Zea mays: one gene and its partners. The main gene of each other region encodes a partner of the protein of the gene in region 5 in a complex. Links are inferred from orthologs where the notes say so. Each region holds a gene or a part of one and is shown on either strand. Other genes may lie near its edges.

Region 1 (4,246 bases), on a different chromosome or scaffold from region 5:
ACCATCGTCAAAAACATGTGCCTTAGTTGCGTGTACTTACATCTGTCTGGCTTGCCATAGGCTTTCTCTCGATAGCAACATGCTCTCGAGTTTGTTTAGGTTTCATGTCACCAAATGGTCTCTGTTGAGCTGCCTTTACTGGTCTCCCCGGTCCAGATTCATAACTTGAGGGATTATTAGACTGCTTGTTGAGCGCACCGTGAGGTTTGGCTTGCAAACTTGAACTTTGGAGGGTTTGTGGGTTCGCTTGCCTCATTGGTGGCTCTTGCCTTGCCAGTTCTAGCCTCCTGGGTTGAACTCTTTCGACGACTCCAGGATAAGAGCGAGGTGGATCTTGCCTTGCAACCGTTGAATGGCTTGCAAGTCTCCCACCATTGTTACCCCTCTTGTTTCCAAGGCTCGGGTCATTACTATGTCTCAAATCTGGCACCGTATGCGCAACGTTAATAATCATCATAATGTTAAAACCAAGCAATAAGCATGGAAAATTAAGAACTGCTAAATTGCTGTACTCACTTCCATCTTCATCCATTTCGTCAAAGAACTTTAGGTTGGGGAGATGGGAGGAAAAACAACAGACACAGAGTCAGATTGTTGTTAAACACAAATCCCAATCAGATGGCAGGAATTAACTATATCAGTACCTCAGAGAGTTGAATAGAAGTGGTTTGGGTGGCAAAGAAGGCCCCTTCGTCCAAAGGTGGAGATGGAAGCCCTTCCTCTTCTTCATCCACAACAGAAGGATTTGAAGAGCCAGGGGAGTTCTCTACAGCACCAAAGAACAAATATCCATATTAAGCTAAGATGCCAGTCTTCATTTAGAAACTGTTAGATCAATTCAATTCAGTTACCTGTCAGGGCAGCATTTGTGGTACTGACCCATTCATCAACCAAAACTTTCCAACCTCTGAAACACACAAGGTAACCTCATATGTCAACAACATTTCCAAGAACGCTAGCAAGAAGGCACTTCCAATGATTATGTAGCTAATCTACAATTGGTTGGTTGATATTTGATCAGTGATTTTGGTCTGCTATTAAGCACTTTGAAAGCAACAGAGAAGTAGCACTAGGGACCAAAATTGACAGAAATGAAGATGGAACTTACTCAATGAGAGTGCACACGAGGTGCCGAATCTCTCGTGAGTTGTGTTTCCGCAGCCGATTAACAGCTCTTCCAATCTCAGTAGCCTGCAATGAACAGTCCTAAGATTAAGAAACCAAACAGCCAGAGCAAACAGGGATCAACACATCAAATAGCTCATATGTACGCAATATCCATTTTGTACCTTTAGCGTAGAGACGGACAATTGCATCAACTGCAGCCTCCTCAGTGAATCGAACAAAGTGGCATCCGACTGCAGGAACAACATGATTTAGCTCAGAGGAATTCGAAGTTTAAGGACCTTATAAATAAATGAAGAAACGAGGCAGTCTGCCAGTACATGGTCTTCCTTGTGCAGGAGGAGTTCCTTGATGCGGAGGACCTCGCCGACGATCTGTGACTCCTCATCGATCTCATTGGTGAGCGCCTCGAGCTCCTCAGCGTCGTGGTCTTCCTCCCCTTCTTCAGTATCATCCGCGGCATGCTGCTGCTCATCTTCCTCCTGTTGGTCGCCATCTTCGTCATCATCATCGTAGTTGTGGCCATAGTTGCTCGCTGCGGCGCGGCGGAGGCGCTCGTCGTCAGAGTCAGAATCATCGTCCTCATCGGCGTGGCCATGGCCATGGCCGCCGCCGCCGTGGGTACCGTTGCTGCTGCTGTCGACCTTGCACTCCTTCTCGGCGACGCGGCGCACGCTGCCCTTGTCCTCCTCAACGGGAGTGGCCGGGGTGGTGGACGCCGCGGCGCTGCCGAAGGACGGCGGCGCCGCGTCGCGGCGGAGCGCGGTGAAGAGCCTCTCAGCGATGCGGTCGCGGCGGTGCAGGAAGTCCCGCGGCGCGTCGGCCGCCGCCACGAGGATGGCGTTCTCGATGACGTCGCAGATGCCAGCGCCGGCGCCACGGAAGAAGCCGCGCCACCGATCCAGCCCGTCGGCCATCGCCGCGGCCGCCACCGGTCCCCGCCGGGCCACCGTCGCCAAGATCAGCCTCCCCCGACCGCGATTCTCAGCAGCGCAGCCAAGGGCCGATGCTCCCCCTTCCTGCTTCTATCTGCTACCAAATTACGCCGCGCGCACCGGCACCAGAACCAAGAACCCAATCTCTCCCGCCCGCCCAACGGCGAATCAGATTCCCCCGAATCGGGGCCGGGGCAGGGGCAGGGGCAGGGGCAGAGTCACCAGCCAACCGATCGAGAAAACAGCGGAGGAACAAGAGCAGGGCGAATCCGGAGGCGGAAGGGATCGATCGCGAAGGAAAAAAACTAGCAGCGTGACCTTCCTCGGGCCCCACGTCCCCGTTCCTTGTCGGTTTCAACAACCTCACCGGGAGGGAGTTCCAGCGCGGCGCGGAGGTAGCCTAACCAGAGCAAATCTTATCTGGACTGCCTGGCTGACCCCTAGAGCGGAAGGAAGCGGGGAGGAAACACAGGGAAGGTGAAGTTGAAGACAGGAAGGGGATGACGATGAGACGGGCGGATAGGGACGGGGAAGGCAGGGTGCGCACACCCACGAGACCTACGCGGCTACTACTACCAAACACCAGCAACAACTAGTCTTTCTCCCATGGCCCATGCCTCGCCACCACTAGCAGCTGCAATTGCGGTAACAAACTGCAATTTACCAGAAGAAGCGAGCGAAGGGCAGCAGGACTCGGCCGTACTCAACCCGCAGGAGATGGCGGAAATGCTACGGGAGATGGGTGAGACGCGGCGTGGCTGATTCTTGTTGCGGTCGACTCGGGCGTCGGGGGGCGCCCTTTCCGGTCTCTTTCCTTCTCTCTCTCTCTGTGTTGAGGAGCAGTGCTGCTAGGTTGATGATGCTCACTCACAAAGTCACAGGGTGGTTTTCCATCATGATTATTGTTTAGTTGCGTATAATCTGAACTATTTACTATTTGGTAAAGCATATCTCTCTCGGGCCATAATTGCAAAGTCATTTGCGTACCGACTACCGAGCACAAGTATTTTCAGCACTGCACACAGCGTGTCATGTCAAATGGATGGGATGCCCTCACAAGCTTTATCATATATTTTTATTCTGTTTTCTTCATGTCGTATTTCAATGTTTAATCATTAATTTTTTTAAAAAATCCATATAAAGTCGGAACATGTACAATGTGTGTTAAATAAAAAATTTATTGTAGTGAATTTAATACAGCTTGGTGCGTGGTACTTGTTCTAGTTGATAGGTTGAATGAGACAATAAAGACGTAATTCTATATGAAACAACTGACGAGACATGAATATAACTTTTGAAAAAAAATGCTTGTCGTTGTAGGCAACTGTTGTGCATTTGTTTTTTAAAAAAAGACGGAAGACGAGTTTTTTAACACAGTCGTGCGACGCGCTGCACCTAGTACAGAGCAGGCTCTCAAGGTGGCAAAATCGTAAGACACAAGAGGTCCGCGATGCTTTGCAATACATGAGATGAGGAGTCGAATGCTATACTATAGGTTTCGCAATACATGAGATGATAACCCATGGTCGCAAAAAAACAAGAACGATAAGAATGGGTGACGGTATAATAAGTAAGATTGAACGAAAAGAGCGAGAGAGATGGAAAGAAAAAGAAGAAAAAAATCCTCTCCGGAAATCTCGGGAAAAGAAAAAAAAATACTATAGCCATCAAAATCTTACACCAAACAATCTGATGAAACTATAATAAACAGCGAAAGAAATGCATCGTCTGTTTTTGCAGTGTTAGCATCTTGATCCGAGCATCCTGGCTTATTCCCACGCCGCGCATAGATACTCCCATTTCAAAAGTGGCATGTGTTTCATGCTTTTTGTTGAGAAGGAATTCCGTCTCTGTATTTTGTCCCCTGTGCACTGCGTGCGCATCTAGCGTCTCCCACCAGTAGTGTGGGACAGTGGCTGGCTAGGGTTGTTTCGAGGTTCTTTTTTTTATTTTCATTTTTTTTAAATTTTCTACAGTAGTATGACTTACGCGGGTGTTCCATTTTGGAGTGGCTGCTGGGGTAGCCGAAGGGCCAGTCGTGTGTCCTTTTCACTAGCAACCATATGCTGGCTTCGTGTAGCAGCAGAGATAGTAGGAAGGAAAAAGGAAATGGAAGAGTATATATTAAAAAAAAGATAGATCGATAGATAGAGAGAGAGAGAGAGAGGAAACAAAAAAACTTCACT
Region 2 (3,971 bases), on a different chromosome or scaffold from region 5:
CAATCTTAAGTGTCATACTAATCTCCTGTCAACGTCTCGACCGATGGGTGCATCAATGACTTTTTAATGGGTGGTCTTTCCACAAAGGACATGCCACTAATATTGATAATGTTTACCATACGGATTTTGCATATCATAATGATATTTGTCGTTCCGTTTATATATTTCATACAATTTTTTTACTTCCGTCGCAACGCACGGGCACTCACCTAGTTGAAAAATATATACACATGAGATAAACTTCTTTTTGAGAAAAGAAATTATGGTTTGGATTTTTGAGAAATTTTAATATTGGTAATACTAGATTGTTACACCCTGCAACTACAAGGCAGGGCATTACCCATCAGCAATCATGCAACCAGTCAAACCAAGAGCAAGGTTGGCACAACGATGTGTCAGACATGGACAACACTAGCAGGCAAAACTGACTGCTCAAATGCTCGGCACGAAGAAGGCCACCTCATTAGCCACGCCCACTCATCTCAAAGAACGGACTTTGGCTGTCCTAGCAGCAAGAACGGACTTTGGCTGTCCTAGCAGCATTACAAGGTTTTGCCACCGCCACTTGACATGAGTGAGGCAGCAGCAGCGGCTGCTGTTGGAACGATTCCTGTCGAGTGTCCTGGTTTTGACAGATGCAGCAGCCTGCAGCAGATTTCCAAGGATTATTAAAACCAAAAAGGTGTTTGGTTCATTCTTATATGTTTTCTGATTGTTGCCTCGGAATTCAAGCTTTGGGGTACTTACGGGGCAAGATATTCACAGAACGCAGTGACAGCTGAAACAACATCATTGTAATTATCAGCAGCAGCAGGAGCTGTGATTTCCACTAGCTGTATGGCAGGAGTGACTGGCGTAGCTTCATCGGTTGCATGGAGCCTTGACATCTTGTTAGCAGATGTAACAGTGACAGTGATTTGGGCACCTCGGTGGAAACGAAATGCAAAACCGCTCTTCAAGAGTTCATGGTCTAGCTTGTACCCTAGGGTGTAGAAGTAGTGCAAGACGTTCTTGCTAGCTTTGCTCTCCACAACTGTACGAACCAGAACTGAGATTTGCTCCGCACCAGCACCTCTCATGGCACCACCAACATGTCTTATGGTCCTACAATCTTGTCACAATTAATGATAAACATAACAAAAGGTAGACTTTCAGCAGCTTGTCTCGGTTACCAGGATGGTGTGGGCTGAGCTAAGTCACACAACAAACGAACCTCCGATGGGACAACACCTGTATGATTGCAAGACGTCAGTTAATACGCCACATGTGTAGGAATGGAGGAGTAGACTAATCACAAACTAACCTAGATTGGGCCCACTTTTAAGGCAGAGCTCATGCACCCTAAAACGCTCTTTCGGGACACCAGAGAGTCCCTGGAGTAGAACCTCAAGAGCATCGACATGCTGCAAAATGGAAAGATCAAACAAAGGTTAAACTAATGGCAGAGCAGTACAACAAAGAGCAACTTACATTCTGTGCACAACACATAAACTAGAACATACCAAAAAATTAAGTTCCTCTCTATTGTAAAAGCACAAGGATAGATCATATGTTCCCCCAACTGTATATTAAATGTTACTATTCTGTTAACATGCTGAGAAGAAAAAAAACAAATGAAATCAAAAGCTCCAGAAGTAGTGCCTTAAAGCGCGGAATAAATTGTTGACATTTAGTGGTCTACATGATCTATCTATTTATCACTTCAATAAAATAAACTTTTGTTAGTATTTATCTGTGATGGAGTAAACAGAAAAGTGACCACCAACTGGCAACTATGGATAGTGGCCATACCTAAGGGAGCTCAACTGAACACTAAAATGAAGCTAGATTGTATGGTGCGTAAGCTCAACATTGTGCACTGTACATGTACATCAATATGAGATTGTTTTGTCCACAGCAACGGAATTCAATTAGTAACGAAATGTTCAACAACAAATTCAATACTATAAGTATATACTTACAAATAGATATTAACAATCTATACACCATTCAAAATACTTATCAAATCTAGATGCAAGCAGTGAGAGGAAAAGTTAATGTCTGATCTGCATAACAAAATAGACTGCACTAACGATGATGAAAGAGCTCCTATCTTTCAAATGTTAGTGGAATGCGTGAAAATCAAATTTTACATAAACCATCAGTGCCAACTTGCATTGTGGCACAATACCTGGTTCTCGATGATTCCCTGCACCACGCACTCCATCGATCTTCTACTGTCCCACAATGATTTTGCACCCAAAAAAAAAGAATCACGTTAGTGGATTTGTTATATGTGTATCAGGGGTGGACCAGTATGGCAGTAAAAAACAAAATTAGAAGTTAGTAGACATCAAATAGTTAGGTTAGAGTTCGGGAACTCGTTTTCGCACAGCGGGTAGAGAGAAGAAGGGGGTGGGAGTGGGAATACATTGAGAGCGTTCTTCGCCAGCGAATAGATCAGCGAAGGGCGTGGTGCCTATGGTGGCGACTGCGGTAGCCCGTCCAGTCGTCGCAAAGAGAGAGAGAGAGAGAGAGCGCGCGCGCACGCGGTGTGAAGGTGACGGATGCGGCAGCGGCGGCGGCGGCTGTAGCCCAGCTAGGGCCTGATCTGGGAAGAGGGAGGCTCGATAGGACTGAGGCACTGTCGGCGGTGCGAGCCGTGCGGCGCAGCGTCGACAGGAACAATGGTGGACGCGACGCGAGGAGGGAGACGGGAACGACCGGACGAGGGAGCCAGGCAGTGGACGGCTGGGCTTGAGCAGGGAGGTGGGCTTGAGCTGGGAGAGTTCACAGTCTCGTTTGGAATGATCCAAATTTCGTTTCGTTGACTAATCTTTTATTTTTTATATTGTTATATTTTGAATCAAATCCATTTAAAACGGACTGAAATTTGTTTTTTTGGTTAATAGCGAAAACGAAAAAAGTATCAAAATTTGGTGATCTCGGACAGAAAAGATAAACCGTGGGCTTGAGTCAGGATTGTTCAGCCTAGTCGCGGTGCGGGGGTTGTTCAGCCTTATTTGTCACTTTTTTTATTTTAATTTTGATAAGACCTAATAGGTTACTCTAGATATGTTATCACTTTACCTTTTTATTCCTAAATCACTTGATAGTTTTACTATTTCTTTACATGGTTTTGGGTTAATATTTCATTATATCCATGTTCCAATTATTTTGTTATTTTATTTTTATTCATGTCAAGATTATTATCTTTAATTGGAACATAGAGCTTAACTTGAGAAACATGTGTCACCACAAGAGAGGAATGAGACCCCTTGACTAACTAATTAGGAAAGCTAGTGGAAAACTACCTTACCCGAAAGGGGCAACGGCAGTAAGAGAGTTACATGCAGAGAGGTTCTCGGTTGATTTTGCTGCGATGGCGGTCAGACGGGGGATTCTTGCAAGTCGAAATCTAGTGGAACTTTATAAAGGCCTCGTAGTGTTGCCCTGTCTCGCTTCCTTGGTAGAGGTGTATGAGAGTCGCGATCCCTTGGTAGATGGGTAACATTACTTGTGGATACAGGGTACAGCCTCTGTAGAGTGTAAAACTGGTATACTAGCCGAGCTCATGGTCATGAGCAGCTCAGAACTGTCGCATGATTAATTAATGGAACTTAAATTCAATTTGTCATTTGCATTGCATGTGATTACTTATTAATTTTGTTCTATTATTTATTATGGTTTGGTATTTACTTACACTTAGTAACTGCTAATAAAATTTTGACCAACTTATAAAAGCAATGCTCAGCTTCAACCTTTATTTTGTTGATCAGCCTTACACTTCACATGAACTCTCACCTTTGGTGAGTTCATGCACACTAGTTTCCCCACAACTTGTTGAGCTATGATCATATGTGAGCTCACCCTTTCTGTCTCACACCCCCATAGGAGAAGAACAGGTGGTTCAGGAGGAGGCACACAATGAGGAGTTTGATCTAATCTAGGTGGCATCTCCCAGTTGACTTATTGGCGCTAAAGATGGATTT
Region 3 (3,616 bases), on a different chromosome or scaffold from region 5:
CTCATCCAATTATCTCCAATCCATATGAATTGTGATGACAAGGATTATGTCCTTAGGTCTTGTTCATTTTATAGCAAAATCATATGGATTAAGGTGTATTGAAATGGATTGAGAAAGATTTTGACTAGTAGTGGATTACTGAACAACCTGGCAGTGCACCTTTAGGAACGGAGATAAAACACAAAGTGTTTTTTTTCGCTTGCTCGTGTATTCAACGTAGCAACTGTGCCACTTGGCTCGGCTTTTTGTCAGGAGAAGGTTCTGTTCGAGCTGATCCAGGCACAAATGGAGTAAAGATAGAAAGGAACTTGCGAACATGGCGGCCATCCAGAGTAGGCACATAACCCGCTAGGCTGACTCCAACAGTTCACCCAAAGTTTACCCATAAATTCACCCAAAGTTTACCCATAAAGACAGGAAGCCGTTAGCATTCTATGTCGTTTTATGATGGCAGAGACTCATTTTGCACAACAACAGAGACCATGGGGCAAGTAAAGGTACACAATCAAACATAGATAAAGTGGGCTTTGTTCGTGGCTTCCAACCTTAAGAAACCAACAAAAGGCGATTGCTAACCATGGCGTCAGATTCTAAGCACATGTACACAGTTTTATAGGGCATAACATAACATTTGGTCACCTAGAGGTTCATGATCACTACAAGGTAAACCGCAGAATCGCACTCCTCACACCCTTTCAAGCTCCGTGATGTGCTTGCTCAGCTGCTCCTTCAGTTCCTTTTGCCACCCTTCAATCAACTTCTTGTGCTTGGCAATGAGCTCAGACTTGCTCTTCAACTCTTCCTCCATTGTCGTAATCTCCTGTGCAATGCAAAACCGAACATGCCAACGAGATGATAAATATTGGGTGGGTATATGTATCCCAAATTCCTAATTAAGACCAGCAACTATGCACCTGTGATTCTCTCAACTACTGCAAAGGCATTTTTTTACAGAAACGTGTGCATGAAAAATTCATGAGCACAGAAGGTGTTAGGTGTATGAATGTGATTGGGTGTTCCTTGGGAACATTACTTTGTAGAAGTGACGATTCAGGCAGGCTACCAGTTCTTTCAATAATGAACACCTCAACTTCGAGTAGAAATATAGGAGTCTTTGTAATAAAGCTTATACTGAGTGTAACAAACTGCCTGTAGCAAGTAGCACTATGTGATTTATAAAGTTGGCTATTCCTAAGTATAGTGCCAACCACAAATGATCACAGTACTTGGGATGATCATATCATGTGAAATGTCAATCCTATCACCAATGAAAACTTTTAAGGGAGTGTTTGGTTTGAGGAGTCACTCAATCCAAAATGATGTGGTGTATAATGAGTCCATTCCTCAAATTTGCTGGGATGACCTTATTTCTCATATTAGTACTAACTAACTATAAGGAATGACTCCATTCCTTATTTCATTCCACAAATCAAATAAAAAAAGAGAAGTGAGAAGACGATGGACTAGCTCATTCCTCAAACCAAACACTTTATAATTAATTCATTCTCCATAACCAGTCCCCAATTTAATTTAACTACTATCCTTGCCGCACTCTTAACTATACGAGGATAAAGTAGAAATATACCTTTCGAAGCATCTCTTCTGCAGATGGCGGTTCCTCACGCTGCAGGCTGATGAAATAAGACTGGAGCTTCTTGGCAGCCTCCATGAAATCCCTTGCGTGCCTCTCAACATCAACTGCCCAATTTAGTAGAGACTACAACACTTAGATACCCTGTTTGGCAGGAACGAATGAGAAAATGCAATTAAATTTCTCTAATAAGCATTGCACACTATTAAGTCGGTATCTAAAAATGTGATTTACTTCTTTAATAAGCATTGCAATGTGATTGCCTGATTGGTACAGTTGATACAAGTTGAGTTCTCAGTCTAGGACCTAAGAAACCAATCGATATACAATTTCCTGGGCACAAGAAAGATGCAAAATCTTCCTCTAGAAAGAGCAAGATCCCTTTATCCATCCCGTAGGCAAAACAACGAACATGTGGCGCGCGACGGCGCCATTAACCGACCGAACACCATGAGACTTTACTGGTGTCGAAGCCGTGCCGGATCAAAGTGAAGCTACCTCTAGAGGAGGAGAGTGGGGAAATGATGGGGGTCGGCCGTACTCTGGTGGGAGGACTGGAGGGAGCGGTCGACGGCCTGGAGCTCGCGCGCGGGGAGGCACGGCAGCAGCGCGGCCTCCAGCGCCGCCACACACGCCAGCATGTCCTCGAGCCCACCCGCCGCGGGAGTCTGCTGCGTCGGCGGCGGGGGCGGCGTCTGCGCTGGCGACTGCGACGGCGTCGGCTCAGCCATGACGGAGAATGCGGAGAGAGGACCCGGAGAGATTGGGAGCGCTTGGGCCTCCGATTTGCTATTGACAAGGAGGAACTTTCCGTTGGATTGAAGACGCACGGCTAGGATTGGTTTACAAATGGCGTGTTCTGCGCCTGGATAGGCATAGGCTCGAGGGCTGAGGCTGCCTTGGCTGAAGGAAAGCGCATAGTTTGTTCAGGCTGACAATTTTCTGAAATATTTTTTCTTTTTTATAATAGCACACTTCTTCATATTTTGGTGCCTAAAATTTAGGCAACACTCTTATATACCACTGATTGCTAATAAAGGACCATTTGGATCCTTTTATTTTCAAAGAATTGGAATTTACTCCCTCCAGTCTTCAAATATTTGATGTTTTGGACATGACCTCATATACCAAGGAGCTATTAAATAGGGTTGTTATTTTCCATAATACCCCTAATAAATACGCTTAGATTCCACAACAAACACATGAAGATGTTAGCCTAGATGGTTGGGTCCTAAAGAATTTTACACTAGGTCGTGAGATCAAACCTTCACGATAAGAATAATTAAGCATATGTGGAAGAATGTGTGAACCACTTATATCAAGGGTATATTAGTCCAAAATAAGCTTCAAATGCTTCAACATCAAGCATTTGCTAGTCCAAAATAAGCTTCAAATGCTTCAACATCAAGTATTTGCATCCAAAGTGAAAATCACTTAAACATCAAGTATTTAAAGACTGGAGGGAGTATTTAATAGAGTAGGTTATTTGATTTGAATTTGATATTACACCACTTTCCAAAGTTTAGATATAAACTCATCTCAAATTCATAAGATGGGGTGGAAATTGATTTTATGTATTCAATTCTACGTTTCTACTCTGTAATTTATAACACACTCTTCTACTCACTCTCCTATAGTAGAAATGTAACATATAAATATCTCTCAAATATGGCCAACACTAATATACAAATATACTCACTATAAAACCATATTAGTTTAATTGATTTATGTCTAAATTACAATTATTATATTAGAATTCAATTCCAAGGGTCCAAAGGGGGTCTAAGACTATAATTTTATTGTTTACCTTTATGTTATAACCTATATTTTTTCCCTTAGCTAACTACTAAAATAATTGCAAAATGTTAATGGTCTTTATGTCAACACAAATCAAAATCTACCAAATTTATGATTTTGTTCAATAGATATTTTATTCTTAAGAGTAAAAATGTAGATTATGTCTATATAAATTACAACACACTAAAAACTAAAATTCAGGTACCTAAAATTTAGTAAATCACTTAA
Region 4 (3,572 bases), on a different chromosome or scaffold from region 5:
TCGGACGACTTTGTTGTTCCTGTCCACTTTGAAGTTGGCCAAGAACCTCGCTTTTGCCTCCTGGATCATCTGCTCCTTGTGCTCCTCGAACTGGAGCTGTTCGTCAGCCGGCAAGGTCTCCTAAGTCGGCTCTATGATGTTGCTTGGGGAAATATTAGAGCTATCTCTTGAACCGGCCATTGAGGGCCGATTTGATGCGTCTATATTTGTGTCCCCAGCGGAGTCGCCAAAAAGTATGTTGACACCTTTTTGGAGGCGCCAATCACTTAAAAAAACCAGCGGCGGTGCTCTCTGGTCAGGCGCGGACGGTCCGCGGCACAGGACCGGACGGTCCGCGACTTGGCGCGAGGCGGTGGTGCTCTCTGGTCAGGCGCGGACGGTCCGCGACACAGGGCCGGACGGTCCGCGACCTGGCGCAGGAGCTAAGGTTCCCTGCCTGACGGCCGGATGGTCCGCGCCCTAGGGCCGGACGGTCCGCGCGTGCGCAGGGGCGGCGGGAGATCGCCGGCGGCGCCTGGATCTCGCTCCCGGGAGGGACCCCGTCGGGGAGGAGAGATCCTAGGTGGTGTCTAGGCTCGGGTAGACTGACCTAGACTTCTCTAATCGACGTAGAGTCGAGGAGAGGCGGAAGATTTGGGGATCGAGAGGCTAAACTAGAACTAGACTAGAACTACTCCTAATTGTACAGGAAATAAATGTGAAATATAAGTTGTATTGATTCGATTGATGATTACAAATCGGCCGTATACCTCTCTATTTATAGAGGAGGGGGCTGGACCCTTTACAAACTAATTTCCGAGCTTTTCCCGCGATTTTAGCTAACAAACATAGCACAAAACTCGGAACCCTAATTTACTCTGCGCACGCACGGACCGTCCGGCCCACAGGCGCGGACTGTCCGGACCGCGGACTGTCCGGCCTCCGTCCGCGCTCCTTTTGGTGCCAAACAATTTATAATTTTGTCACTCTCAGTTTTGACTTTATTATATTATCCCATATCTATAACTGATAGAATCATCTGTGTCTATAATTTAGGGTCCGACGTCATATTAATGAAGCCTATAAATGACAATGGTAAAATTGCCGATGGCTCAGCATTCTGCAAATGTGTGGTGACCGGAAGACTTGGTGGTATCCCAGGAATATGAGCGAGCATCTTTTGAATACCGGCACATACATTTTTTAGATCCGGCCTGGTCCATGCTACGTGGGCTGGATCCTGCAGACCCATTCCTGGATGAAATCGGCCTGCTACAATAAAGCCGCCGTCCTGCAAGTCTGGGACGGAGGAAGGAGAAGAGGGAGAGAGTGGTGGGGATTCGGCATGGACATCATCACGCAGCTGCAGGACCAGCTCGACGAGATGGCCGTGCTGGCCGTCAACACCTTCGGCACGCTGCAGAGGGACGCGCCGCCGGACCGCCTCTCCAGCAGCTACCCTGACCCGCTCAACCCCAACCCTAAGCCCGAGGACGACTCCAAACCCCAGGTCCAGGCCCAGCCCGGCGCGCCGCCGCCGCCACCGGCGCAGGCGCAGGCGCAGGCGCAGCCGCCCGCGCCTGACCTCACCGAGCAACCCAAGGCTATGAGCCGCGCCCTCGTCCTCGCGGCCAAGAAGGTAGGTACCCTGCCCCACTTCTCTTCTCGGTGTCCCCATCTTCTGGACCAAATGCCCGCCCGGTGATTCCAAAATATCTTTGTGTGGTTAAGTAGAAAGTTTCGGCTCGCTTCGTAGTTTTACTCGTAAGTCTGATGCTGCGAATAAGTGAAGGACCAACTGTTTAATTTTTGCTTGCTTGCCCGCGTTATGTGGAGACAAACAATGAAACCGTGTTGCCACTTACTAGTCTTCATATCTTGCTCCATTGCATAAGATAAGATGTTTATCCCAACAGTGTACAGAACAATCTTCATCTCTTGCTCCATTACATAAGATAAGATGTTTATCCCAACAATGTACATAACGTAGAGTCTTCATCTCTTGCTCCATTTCATAAGATAAGATGTTTATCCCAACAACAGCGTACAGACGTAGAATCTTCATCTCTTGCTCCATTTCCTAAGATAAGATGTTTATCCCAACAACAGCGTACAGACGTAGAGTGATGCATACGGGAGGGAGGGAGTGAGGGAGATCACTTTGTGTTAACCATGGTTGAAAACTTGAAATGTAAAGACTGGCAAACTTTAGTTCAAATTATGCTTGCTGCAGTTCCAACTTTTTCCCCTTAAATGAGGAACAATTATGGCCTTCTATGCAGTTTGATGCACTTGTTGCAGCAGTGCCACTATCATCAGAAGAGGATCAAGTGAAAAGAATCCAAGAGCTACAGGTAGATATCAGACAGTCAGATTAATTCATCGAGCACAGGATGGGCATCTGCCAAACTCCTACTCCAAATAAACTGTATGAAAATCTGAAATTTGCAGGCAGAGAATGAAGTCGTGGGACTGGAGCTCCAGAAGCAACTTGAAGCTGCCGGTAACACGATCCCCACTGTTTCTAGAGTTCTTACTATTATATGTCTAATTACTGATGTCATTGCGTTACAGAAAGGGAGTTGAAGCAGGTTGAGGTGCTGTTTAATGAAGCAACAGACAATTGCATAAATTTTAAGAAGCTAGATTAATTACGTTAATGTAAGTTGAGATGAATTTCTTCCTACAACTTATCAATGCACTGTCAAAGTCAATTTCTCTTTTAATTTGGCTCCAACAGTTACTTCTTGGTTTTGTATGTATTTGGCATCAAGTGTTGGAAACCGATCTAGCTCATAAGATATTGTGTTGACGTAAATCCAATGTCTGCCATAGCAGGTTTGCTGAAAAGAAACTGTTCCTGTGGATGGAGTGTGGAGGATGAATGCCAGTAAGAACTTTATATTCCGTCTTTTCAGATTCTCTACTAGTGAACAATAATTGCACTTAGCTTTTGTGTACTGGCATTCTGATCTGCCGGATTAGGATTGACCTTTGGTTGTAAGGTGCAATGTTTTTAGTATGAACTGACGCTTGAACTGTGGTGGTCTTTTTAATGGATCTGGCACCTGGCTTCCTCTGGGATTTCTTCTATATTTTGGTATTTGTTCAGTACCTGAGACCTTTGACACCTGTTCCTAAACTCCCCTCCAGCCACTGGCCTGGAGTAGAACTGTATTTGGGAAATAAAAGCACGGAAATTCTCTCTACAGTGCTCAGACATGATACTGGTTGGTTCTGCAAGGATACTCCCTGCTCACTCACACAGACACAATAACAAAACAAAGAGAAGGAAAAGATGCATCATTCCCCTACAGCCTTATTCATCGTCCGTTGAGCACAGCAGCAGCAGAGCAGCCCGTCGTGTCAAGCATATTTGCAGGTGCCAAGGCCTGCAAGAGGATCCAATGATCCATCATCCGGTGTCAGCTCCCCCAACACGGTTCACGGGCAATGAGACACTCACAGCAAGCAAGGAAGCACTCACTGGGGTCAGTGATGGTGATTATGCCGGTGCCGTTGAAGAAGCAGTTCCACGAGTTCCTCCCCCGGGCCTGGTAGTAGGCGTTCATGGCCACCGACGCCCGCGACAG
Region 5 (4,253 bases):
TCACCTTGCAGTACTTACAAATGGCTCCATACCATACCATCTTACCATTGACAAGGTGAGTCGGTTCATCAAAGTCATGCCACACTTTAGATCTGAGAGGACACTTACTGGAACTGGTGGCGGCGGTGCTTGTGCCGGTCGGTGTCGGGCTCGTGGATCCTGTGCCCGCTTGACCACCGGTGGCGGCACCAGGGACATCATCATCATTATCGATGTTGATGGCAACACTACTGCCAAATAGGATCCGGGCATCCTCTGCTTTGTTATGATATTCTAGCCGGTGCTCCTCGTCCACAACGGTCGGATGAAGGTCATCGTCCATGCCGTAGACAGATGGCTCCTCGCCGACGACTGGGGTCCCTGGACAGCTACGTGGCACCGACACAAGCGATACCTAGGAGATTCATCACATCCATGGGATTCCAATCAAGATCTAATACACAAGAGAAGGGGATGGAGATTAGGGTTCAGGACATAACCTGCGCAGCCGGAGCACCTTAGTCGCCTTGAGAGCACCACCGCGAGGAGGAACACCTCTGCTAAGAGGATGTCAGGAGCCGAGGATGGGGATTACTCTATTGGGATTCGGGTGTGAGGAAGGGAAGATGATGAGCGAAGAGATGAGGAGAGTATAGATGTCCAAACAAGCCGTCGCTGGTAGCCGTCACCAGTAGCCGTCGGCGGGAGAGGCGAGATTTCGTCGGTCACCAAGGAGCAAGAGGTAGGAGCCACGGGAGAAGGGGAGGGGATTAGGTTTAGGGTTTCGAGCGAGCGAATGCCGGGGGGGTGCGTCATGGGGCAGGGCCGATGTGTGTTATGCGGCGTGGAACGGACAGACGCCGTGTCTGGCTCATTTTCGTGCTGGGTCGGGCCGAGCACGACGTGCCGGCCTCAAAGCCCAAGCACGACACGTCCACCGTGCCGGGCTGTCCCGAGCTCGATGCGCAGCGAGCCGTGCCGGGTTGGTACCAGGCTTCGGATAAATTTGGCTGTCCGGCCAATATAGACATCTATACCTGTTAAACTGCTAAACAAACTTAGCATCATCAGGCATCGGCTACACTATCATTGTAAAGTCCGTTTGCTTGTAGGTTGGCTTTAATTAGCCCCAGCTCCTCTGTGTGAACTAGGAGGCGTACGTGCCATCAAATTCTGTAAAGTTTGAAGCATGCTGCAGGCAGTATACTCGTGAGGATGACACAAAAAACACATATTTAGTGATACCAATTTAATGGTGTAAATACCACCGTCTCTTTTTGTATAAGTATATTAACTCTAAGTTTAGTTAAATAAAAAATAGTTTAATATATGACGACTCTGTATGCTCATCTCATCTAGGTATACATTTTGTTAGGACTTCTCCAAATTTTGAACTCTGCATTATGAACTTTTGGATTCTGGACACATGTTTTGTCGAGTGCAGAGAATTGACTTGACTGTCCCCCGGCCCTCACATGTCAGTCTGAGCCAGACACGCAAACTGGTGGTACCGCCATAACGATCTGAAAACATCCTCCATTAGTCCGCCTCCGGCCACCCCCTTTCATTCCGCCGCAACGCCACCGCCCCCAACGCAAGTTTCCGGCGATGGACCCCGCGGCGGCCGCGCTAGGTGCAGTACCCGCCGCTGGCGCGCCACCTCCGGGCGCAGCCGCAGGGGACCAGCAGGCAGCTCCCCGGGTTGAGCGGCTCAGCGCGGGGGTGCAGCAGCAGTTGAACCTGGAGGGGATGCGCGCGCGCGCGGTGGGGCTGTACAAGGCCATCTCCCGCATCCTCGAGGACTTTGACGTCATCATACGCACCAATCCCAGCGCCTCCCCCAAGTGGTAACTTCATCCCCAGCCCCGCCCCTCTTATTGGCTATCGGCTGATGGCTGGCAGCAGTGGATTCTAGGGTTTAATTAGGATGCCTCTGCTCGTGTGGCGTCGCTGCGCGATTGCTTACTGGTATGGTATGGCTGCCTCTGGGTGAATTGCAGGCAGGACGTGCTCGGGCAGTTCTCGATGGTGAGCATGGAGCTCTTCAACATTGTGGAGGACATTAAGAATGTGTCCAAGGTGTTTGTCGTGTACCCCCGGAATGTCAATGCCGAGAATGCAACAAGTATGCCGTTCTGAGTTTTTTCCCCTTTATGGATATGCATATATCTTTTGTTATCTGTGTCAATTTGGTTATCACGTAATGGTATTTGTTTTCTTAGAAATCATAATTAATATTTAGTTGATCTAACATAGGGGAGTTTAACATCTGTTGGTTATGTTCTAGTTGCATGGTTTACTGATTCAGTCATGAAATAAATCATCTCCAGTTCAGGGACAACAATTTCCAAAGACATTAAGAGTTCTTTGCCCTTGTTTGTAAAAGTTTGGTTGGTTCAATCAAGACATGAACAACAACCTCTCTGAAAGATTATCAATGGAAGCATGTAATTTGGGAAGAAATTATCTGATATGAAAATTTGCTCAGTTTATGTGTTGAAGTTTTGCTATGTAACCAACTGTATTGAGTCCAAAGGAATCCATCAAACATTTTCCCTTATTTGACCCAACACTAAATAGTCTTTCGTTGTTCATGGTCCAGTATTGGTGAACACCTAATGAGATTATGATTTTCAACACATGATGAGATTATACGATTCATTTATGCTTCCATATATTTTTAGAAAAAAACCCTATGATTTTGTTTCTAAAGTAAGGATGAATGATGACTACAAGTATGACCAGTTGGGCTAATACTTTGCTGTGCCGTTTCTTTGGGGTCTTCTCACAAGTTTTATTACACATGAAGATTCAATCTAAGATTTTTCTTACTGTCAACTGATGTTTATTTCCAGTTGTCCACTAATCAAAATTCTGAATTAGGTTTCAGACTTTTGAAGTTTTCTACTAGCCATGGCCTTAATTTCATGGCAAGCTATTCTGAGATAAATAAACACAGTGCAAATGACCCAACAAAAATGTATTGGAAATGGTCATTCTAATTGTTCTGATGCATTGTCATCTAGTGTTCCCATTTTGCATACTATCAATGGTTTGTACAGTTATTTATTATTAGAGTTGCAGTATAATCCTTATGAATATTGCAGTACTACCTGTAATGCTGTCGTCAAAACTGCTGCCTGAGATGGAAGTTGAGGAAACTACTAAGAGAGAGCAACTATTGTCTGGAATAACTAATCTACCTGTGCCTACACAGATTGAAAAATTAAAGGTGACCAATTTAGTATGAAAAATGAAAACCTATAGCATGTGTTGCTAGCTTGATTTATCGGCTATCTATTAATTAGAATGAACCTGGTACCATCCCTTTCAGGTTAGAATAGACATGATTGGGAGTGCATGCGAAACTGCTGAGAAAGTAATTGCAGAATGCCGTAAGAGCTATGGGCTGGGAAGCCGTCAGGGGACAAATCTTGGTCCTACATTGGACAAAGCACAAGCTGCAAAGATACAGGAGCAGGAAGGCCTACTTAGAGCAGCAGTAAATTATGGTGAAGGTGAAAGGCATAGTGCTTGGTCAATATTAATAAAAAATGCAATTAGATTTCCAAAATAAAGAGTCCTTTTTACTTCTATTTTGTGTTACAATTTCAATACTTATAGCCTTACTAAAATTATCTGAATGCCAGGATTACGGGTACCTGGAGATCAGAGGCATCCACAATCTCTTCCTATCCATCTGATAGAAGTGCTTCCTTTAGGAGACGGTGCACAAAATTTTGGTGATAGTTCTGGTATGTAGATTTTCTTGTGTATCTAAACTCTCTTAATGAACCTCTCCTCGTTTTGAGTTTTAACATCTGTCGATTGTCTCATTTTCATGCGCTATAGACCGAACTCCTATTGTGCTAGGATTAGTGTTTATCCTCAATTGCTAAAATCACGACCATTTGCATTGAGATATGTGCTGTAAAAGTTCCTTATATGTTTAACATTTGCCATATTAATGGGAGATTTGTGCCGTAGAAGTTCCTTGTATGCTTAACTCTTTGGCATTTGCATTGGAGATGTATTTGACAAATGCACATCTAATTTCTATTTGTATTTGCAGGTAGTTATCCCAAAAATATGTCAACATTTGCACCTAATAGTGTCAACAGCCAGGGAAATCAGATTCAGGTTTCTGTTATAACTGAGTTATTATTATGATATTAGAAAGGGTCTATCTTCTATTGTTATCACTCTTTTGAATTGAAAACCTCTTTGGTTCATTCTGTTTTTATGACATCAGTCATCTTCCCATGGTGTTGATA
Region 6 (3,901 bases), on a different chromosome or scaffold from region 5:
AAGCTTCTTCTGTTCCTCTTTTAACCTGCATTAGCGACCTTCGGCAAACATGAATTGGTTGCTCTCGGAATAAATGATAAAGTGGTTAAGATTAGTTGATTTTAATTAAGGACCTCCTGCAAAGGCTTACCCCCAACAATTGCTTTCAATGTACGGTAACGTTTAATATACTACGTATTGTGTATTAATAGAGTGATTCACTGATAATAACACACCCATTTGGTTACATGTCAAGCCAGATGACATGTCTAGAACTATCTAATCAGAGTCACAATCAATAGGGACAATCGTAGCAGTAAGCCAACACACCACTCAGCTCTTCCTACATTCAGTGGCGGATCTCCAACCGAGGCTGGGGCTGCCTGGGCTGCAGCCCGGTCGCGGCCCAAAAATCAGCGAATAAGCCCATCAGCTCCAGCCGCGCGACCGCGTGAACAGCCTCCCAGTCGTAGGTCGCTCCTCCTCCCTCTACCCACGAGCTTCAGGCCTCCAACCGCCCACGCCCCGACGCCCGGAGCACCGCTGCAACCCGCAGCGTCGCTCGCCCGGAGGCCGGACCGCCGGAACACCGCCGCTAGCCCCGCCCGGAGCACCGCCTTGACCACGCCGCTGTCCAGCCGCCACTCCGCGCTCCCTCCTTCTGCTAATTCGTGGAGCTCAGGTTTGTACACACGCGCTGAGAAGAAAGTGTGCTTAGCTATTAGCTTGTTCTTGCATTGGAGTGATGAGCCAGACAGCCAGTGATGTATGGCCTTGCCATAATGCCATGCGCGGTGTGCGGCGTGTGCCAATGCCCCTCCAAGCTTTCTGTTGGGGGTTCCTTGTTCTGTTGGGAGTTTGGGACGATGAAGGAATAGGAGGCCAAGAGAGTTTCTGCTAATCTGTGACAGATCATGCAGGAATAGGACGTCCCATGCGAACTGCGAAGCAGAAGCAACGAAGGTGAAGCTGTGATCTGTGAAGCAGACAAGCAGTGAAGGTGAAACATGTGCTATTGTTTGCTTTAAGTTTGATTTGAAATTTTGATTTGATTATTTATTTGGTAGTAATCCCATGCTTATAAGAATAGGATGGATAAATTTTTCATCAAGAACCAGAAGAAAGATGATTCTAATTCTAAAACAATTAGGATAAACGAGAGTCTTGTAAAAAAAAGACCACGTATAGTAGCTCTGGATCCGCCACTTCCTACGTTCTGTCCGCACGATTGATCGCGAGCTTCCCAACAACACGCGTCCAATAATGTAATTTTTAGAATTTATTTACTATACGGTCTGGGAAAACAATATTATTTTTTTAGAAAAAAATCCATGCCTACAATCTCTAGCCCTGGTCCAGATGCGTATGTCGAATAAAAAGGCCCATCCTGATCTCGACCCGATATCGATTGGGCCATTTCGGCATTTCCTGTTTTCACGCTTTGCTTTCGGTTTCGGGGTCGTCGTGTCGAATTGGGGGCTGAGGCCGAATTGGATCGTCAGAAGCTGGGGGTGAGGGAGGGATGGAGGCGACTGTGGACCACCTGAGCGCGGCGTACGACGACTTCATGGCGGCGGCGGCGGCTGTGGTGGAGGCCCGCGTACAGTCGGGCGGCGAGAAGAAGACGGCGGCCACGGACGCCGCGCTCGAGGCCTTCAAGCAGCGCTGGGAGATCTTCCGCGTCGCCTGCGACCACGCCGAAGAGCTCGTCGAGTCCATCCGCCAGCGCATCGGCTCCGAGTGCCTCGTCGACGAGGCCACGGGGTCCGCCTCCGCCGGATCCGTTGCCGCCCCCGGCATCAAGCCCATCAGCGCCGTCCGCCTCGAGCAGATGAGCAAGGCCGTCCGATGGCTCGTCATCGAGCTCCAGCACGGCGCCTCTGCTCAAGGGACCGGCGGCAGTGGCGGTGCCGCTACCCCAAATGCCGGCGCTGGAGGGCAACACCCGGAGGAGGGTGCCCAGTAGGTATGGACTATGGAGTTACTGAATTAAACTAGTAGCATCGCCCTTCTCATATGAAAATTGTAGCATTTTTCCTTCAATAGAAAACAAAGAACTTGTCGTTGCTGTGTTTCTATGAGTGACAGCATTAACCTTGCGTGTTGATATTTGCAAGAACATGAACTAAGGTGCCGTTTGGTTCATATATTTGTAACGTAATGGGTAATGGATAACGTTAAATCATGTTTGTTATAGTCCAACCGTAATCAGATACCGTACTAAAATTTGATACCAGCCTATTCAAATTTGTTACCGCCAGTAATCGAGCGTAAACTATTACCATTACCATTTGCGTTACATTTTTTGAACCAAACAGCACCTAAATCATTGCGATTTGCTGGCTGTTGTTTTTACCTTTCCATTTTGAGATATACTACTACTCAGCATTAATGTCTTTATGCCCATTGGTTATTGCCCAATCTTTACACAGATTGCTAAAATGCTGCTCTCCATAAAAAAAAATTATAGTGTCGTGACAAAGCATGAGAGGTATATAGATCTAATTACATGATGACCAGAAAAAAAAAACCTGGGGGTATAATGCTGCGCCAGTTTTAAGTCTGTACCTGTTTGGACCAGCCAGTGTATGGGGATTGGTTGTTGCAGTTTTTGATTTTGAGTCAACTCTTTTGTTGAGTGAAGAGATAAGGTTGGGAACTTGGGATCCCTGGTTTGAGATAGACAAAAAAACTAAAAAAGGGCTGATCCAGTGCTGGAGGCTCTCACACGAGTGGGGTCTAGGAAAGGGATGAGCTTCGAACTCACGACTTAAATTAGGTGCCGTTTGGTTCCTAAAATGTAACGTAAATGGTAACGGTAATGATTTGCATTCGATTACCAGGGGTAACAAGTTTGAATAGGCTGGTATCAATTTGTAGTGTGGTATCCAATTACAGTTGGACTTAAACAAACATGATTTAACGTTATTTGTTACCTATTACATTACAAACATATAAACCAAACAGCACCTTAGTTCCTTTATCGTTCTATAGATCCAAAGTTTTATTCACCACTGCTATGGTCCCTACAGATTCATGATATTTGAGTTAACAAAGCAGTACTGGTTTTCATTGTTCTCAGAGTATATTCACTAGTCATTTTCACAAAAGCACGAACTGAATTGAACAGTAATTTAGTAAGATGGTTACCAAGAAACCAGATATGCCCATCACTGTATCTCAAATGTATGTTAATCTATTATGTGCAGAAAAAAAAGATTTGACTATGCTACATGACAGTATGCTGATAAACTATTGGAAGTAAGCAGAAATGTGGAGATGTCATAATCTGTTTGTATCGATATTATAGGATCTGTAGACAAAGTACAATTTCACAATTTGATGGCTGCACTCAAGAGAATTGGCTGAGGACTATGAACTACTCCCTCCATTTCTAATTATAAGATTTTTTGGCTTTTCTAGATCAATAGTTTTTGCTACACACCTAGAAATATATTATGTATAGATACGCAAAAGCTATGAACCTAGAAATGCCAAAATGTTTTATAATTTGGGACAGAGGAAGCATTAGCAGAAAAAACATGCGTTTACATCCAACATGGATTAAGACGCGTTAACGCATTATCATACCAAAAACATAGATGATATGGTGAGCAAAGTGCATTATCATACCAACAACAGTAACATGGATTAAGACCACAACTGATTGTTAAAATTTGGCCACTGACTCAATATAAGCAGTGTACCTAAAAAATAGAGCTGAAATGAGATAATCTGTACAGAAACTTTAAAGGTTGTAACCAATGCCAAATTCAGAAAATAGAGCTAGATAAAATATTAGCTCCATAAGTATACCGGACTTTGATAAATGTAACATGCTGAATGATACTACTCCGTATCATGTGAGAAAAGGATCTGAGTATCTGGTCGATTAATTTAAGAATATATTAAGACCTGGAAC

What was found. The genes of interacting proteins can lie anywhere in the genome.
Region 1: mediator of RNA polymerase II transcription subunit 8 (region 5) and Probable mediator of RNA polymerase II transcription subunit 26b share a complex: the UniProt entries of both Arabidopsis thaliana proteins name them as parts of the mediator complex. The link is inferred for Zea mays from reciprocal best matches to the Arabidopsis thaliana genes MED8 and AT5G05140.
Region 2: mediator of RNA polymerase II transcription subunit 8 (region 5) and mediator of RNA polymerase II transcription subunit 18 share a complex: the UniProt entries of both Arabidopsis thaliana proteins name them as parts of the mediator complex. The link is inferred for Zea mays from reciprocal best matches to the Arabidopsis thaliana genes MED8 and AT2G22370.
Region 3: mediator of RNA polymerase II transcription subunit 8 (region 5) and Mediator of RNA polymerase II transcription subunit 28-like share a complex: the UniProt entries of both Arabidopsis thaliana proteins name them as parts of the mediator complex. The link is inferred for Zea mays from reciprocal best matches to the Arabidopsis thaliana genes MED8 and AT3G52860.
Region 4: mediator of RNA polymerase II transcription subunit 8 (region 5) and Mediator of RNA polymerase II transcription subunit 21 share a complex: the UniProt entries of both Arabidopsis thaliana proteins name them as parts of the mediator complex. The link is inferred for Zea mays from reciprocal best matches to the Arabidopsis thaliana genes MED8 and MED21.
Region 6: mediator of RNA polymerase II transcription subunit 8 (region 5) and Mediator of RNA polymerase II transcription subunit 32-like share a complex: the UniProt entries of both Arabidopsis thaliana proteins name them as parts of the mediator complex. The link is inferred for Zea mays from reciprocal best matches to the Arabidopsis thaliana genes MED8 and MED32.

The regions. Positions count from the first base shown.
Region 1 is NC_050103.1:106,778,689-106,782,934, reverse strand, and holds the start of Probable mediator of RNA polymerase II transcription subunit 26b, read right to left. Parts: upstream 2,801-4,246; 5' UTR 2,043-2,800; coding exon 1,446-2,042; intron 1,359-1,445; coding exon 1,290-1,358; intron 1,192-1,289; coding exon 1,109-1,191; intron 908-1,108; coding exon 852-907; intron 767-851; coding exon 645-766; intron 545-644; coding exon 517-544; intron 424-516; coding exon 41-423; intron 1-40. UniProt on the Arabidopsis thaliana protein: Component of the Mediator complex, a coactivator involved in the regulated transcription of nearly all RNA polymerase II-dependent genes.
Region 2 is NC_050100.1:126,532,858-126,536,828, forward strand, and holds mediator of RNA polymerase II transcription subunit 18, read right to left. Parts: upstream 2,801-3,971; 5' UTR 2,411-2,800; intron 2,217-2,410; 5' UTR 2,207-2,216; coding exon 2,171-2,206; intron 1,404-2,170; coding exon 1,304-1,403; intron 1,231-1,303; coding exon 1,173-1,230; intron 1,105-1,172; coding exon 748-1,104; intron 646-747; coding exon 543-645; 3' UTR 279-542; downstream 1-278. UniProt on the Arabidopsis thaliana protein: Component of the Mediator complex, a coactivator involved in the regulated transcription of nearly all RNA polymerase II-dependent genes.
Region 3 is NC_050103.1:84,916,337-84,919,952, forward strand, and holds Mediator of RNA polymerase II transcription subunit 28-like, read right to left. Parts: upstream 2,469-3,616; 5' UTR 2,323-2,468; coding exon 2,133-2,322; intron 1,699-2,132; coding exon 1,586-1,698; intron 821-1,585; coding exon 686-820; 3' UTR 501-685; downstream 1-500. UniProt on the Arabidopsis thaliana protein: Component of the Mediator complex, a coactivator involved in the regulated transcription of nearly all RNA polymerase II-dependent genes.
Region 4 is NC_050099.1:37,999,035-38,002,606, forward strand, and holds Mediator of RNA polymerase II transcription subunit 21, read left to right. Parts: upstream 1-1,324; coding exon 1,325-1,618; intron 1,619-2,261; coding exon 2,262-2,333; intron 2,334-2,430; coding exon 2,431-2,482; intron 2,483-2,553; coding exon 2,554-2,630; 3' UTR 2,631-2,640; intron 2,641-2,814; exon of another isoform or gene 2,815-2,817; 3' UTR 2,818-3,072; downstream 3,073-3,572. Other genes in the region: putative X8 domain containing family protein isoform 1 precursor, read right to left, coding at 3,346-3,371, 3,467-3,572. UniProt on the Arabidopsis thaliana protein: Component of the Mediator complex, a coactivator involved in the regulated transcription of nearly all RNA polymerase II-dependent genes.
Region 5 is NC_050102.1:151,801,048-151,805,300, reverse strand, and holds the start of mediator of RNA polymerase II transcription subunit 8, read left to right. Parts: upstream 1-1,453; 5' UTR 1,454-1,587; coding exon 1,588-1,826; intron 1,827-1,979; coding exon 1,980-2,104; intron 2,105-3,086; coding exon 3,087-3,211; intron 3,212-3,313; coding exon 3,314-3,497; intron 3,498-3,629; coding exon 3,630-3,734; intron 3,735-4,051; coding exon 4,052-4,119; intron 4,120-4,253. UniProt on the Arabidopsis thaliana protein: Component of the Mediator complex, a coactivator involved in the regulated transcription of nearly all RNA polymerase II-dependent genes.
Region 6 is NC_050101.1:142,578,410-142,582,310, reverse strand, and holds Mediator of RNA polymerase II transcription subunit 32-like, read left to right. Parts: upstream 1-1,382; 5' UTR 1,383-1,501; coding exon 1,502-1,945; intron 1,946-3,188; 3' UTR 3,189-3,401; downstream 3,402-3,901. UniProt on the Arabidopsis thaliana protein: Component of the Mediator complex, a coactivator involved in the regulated transcription of nearly all RNA polymerase II-dependent genes.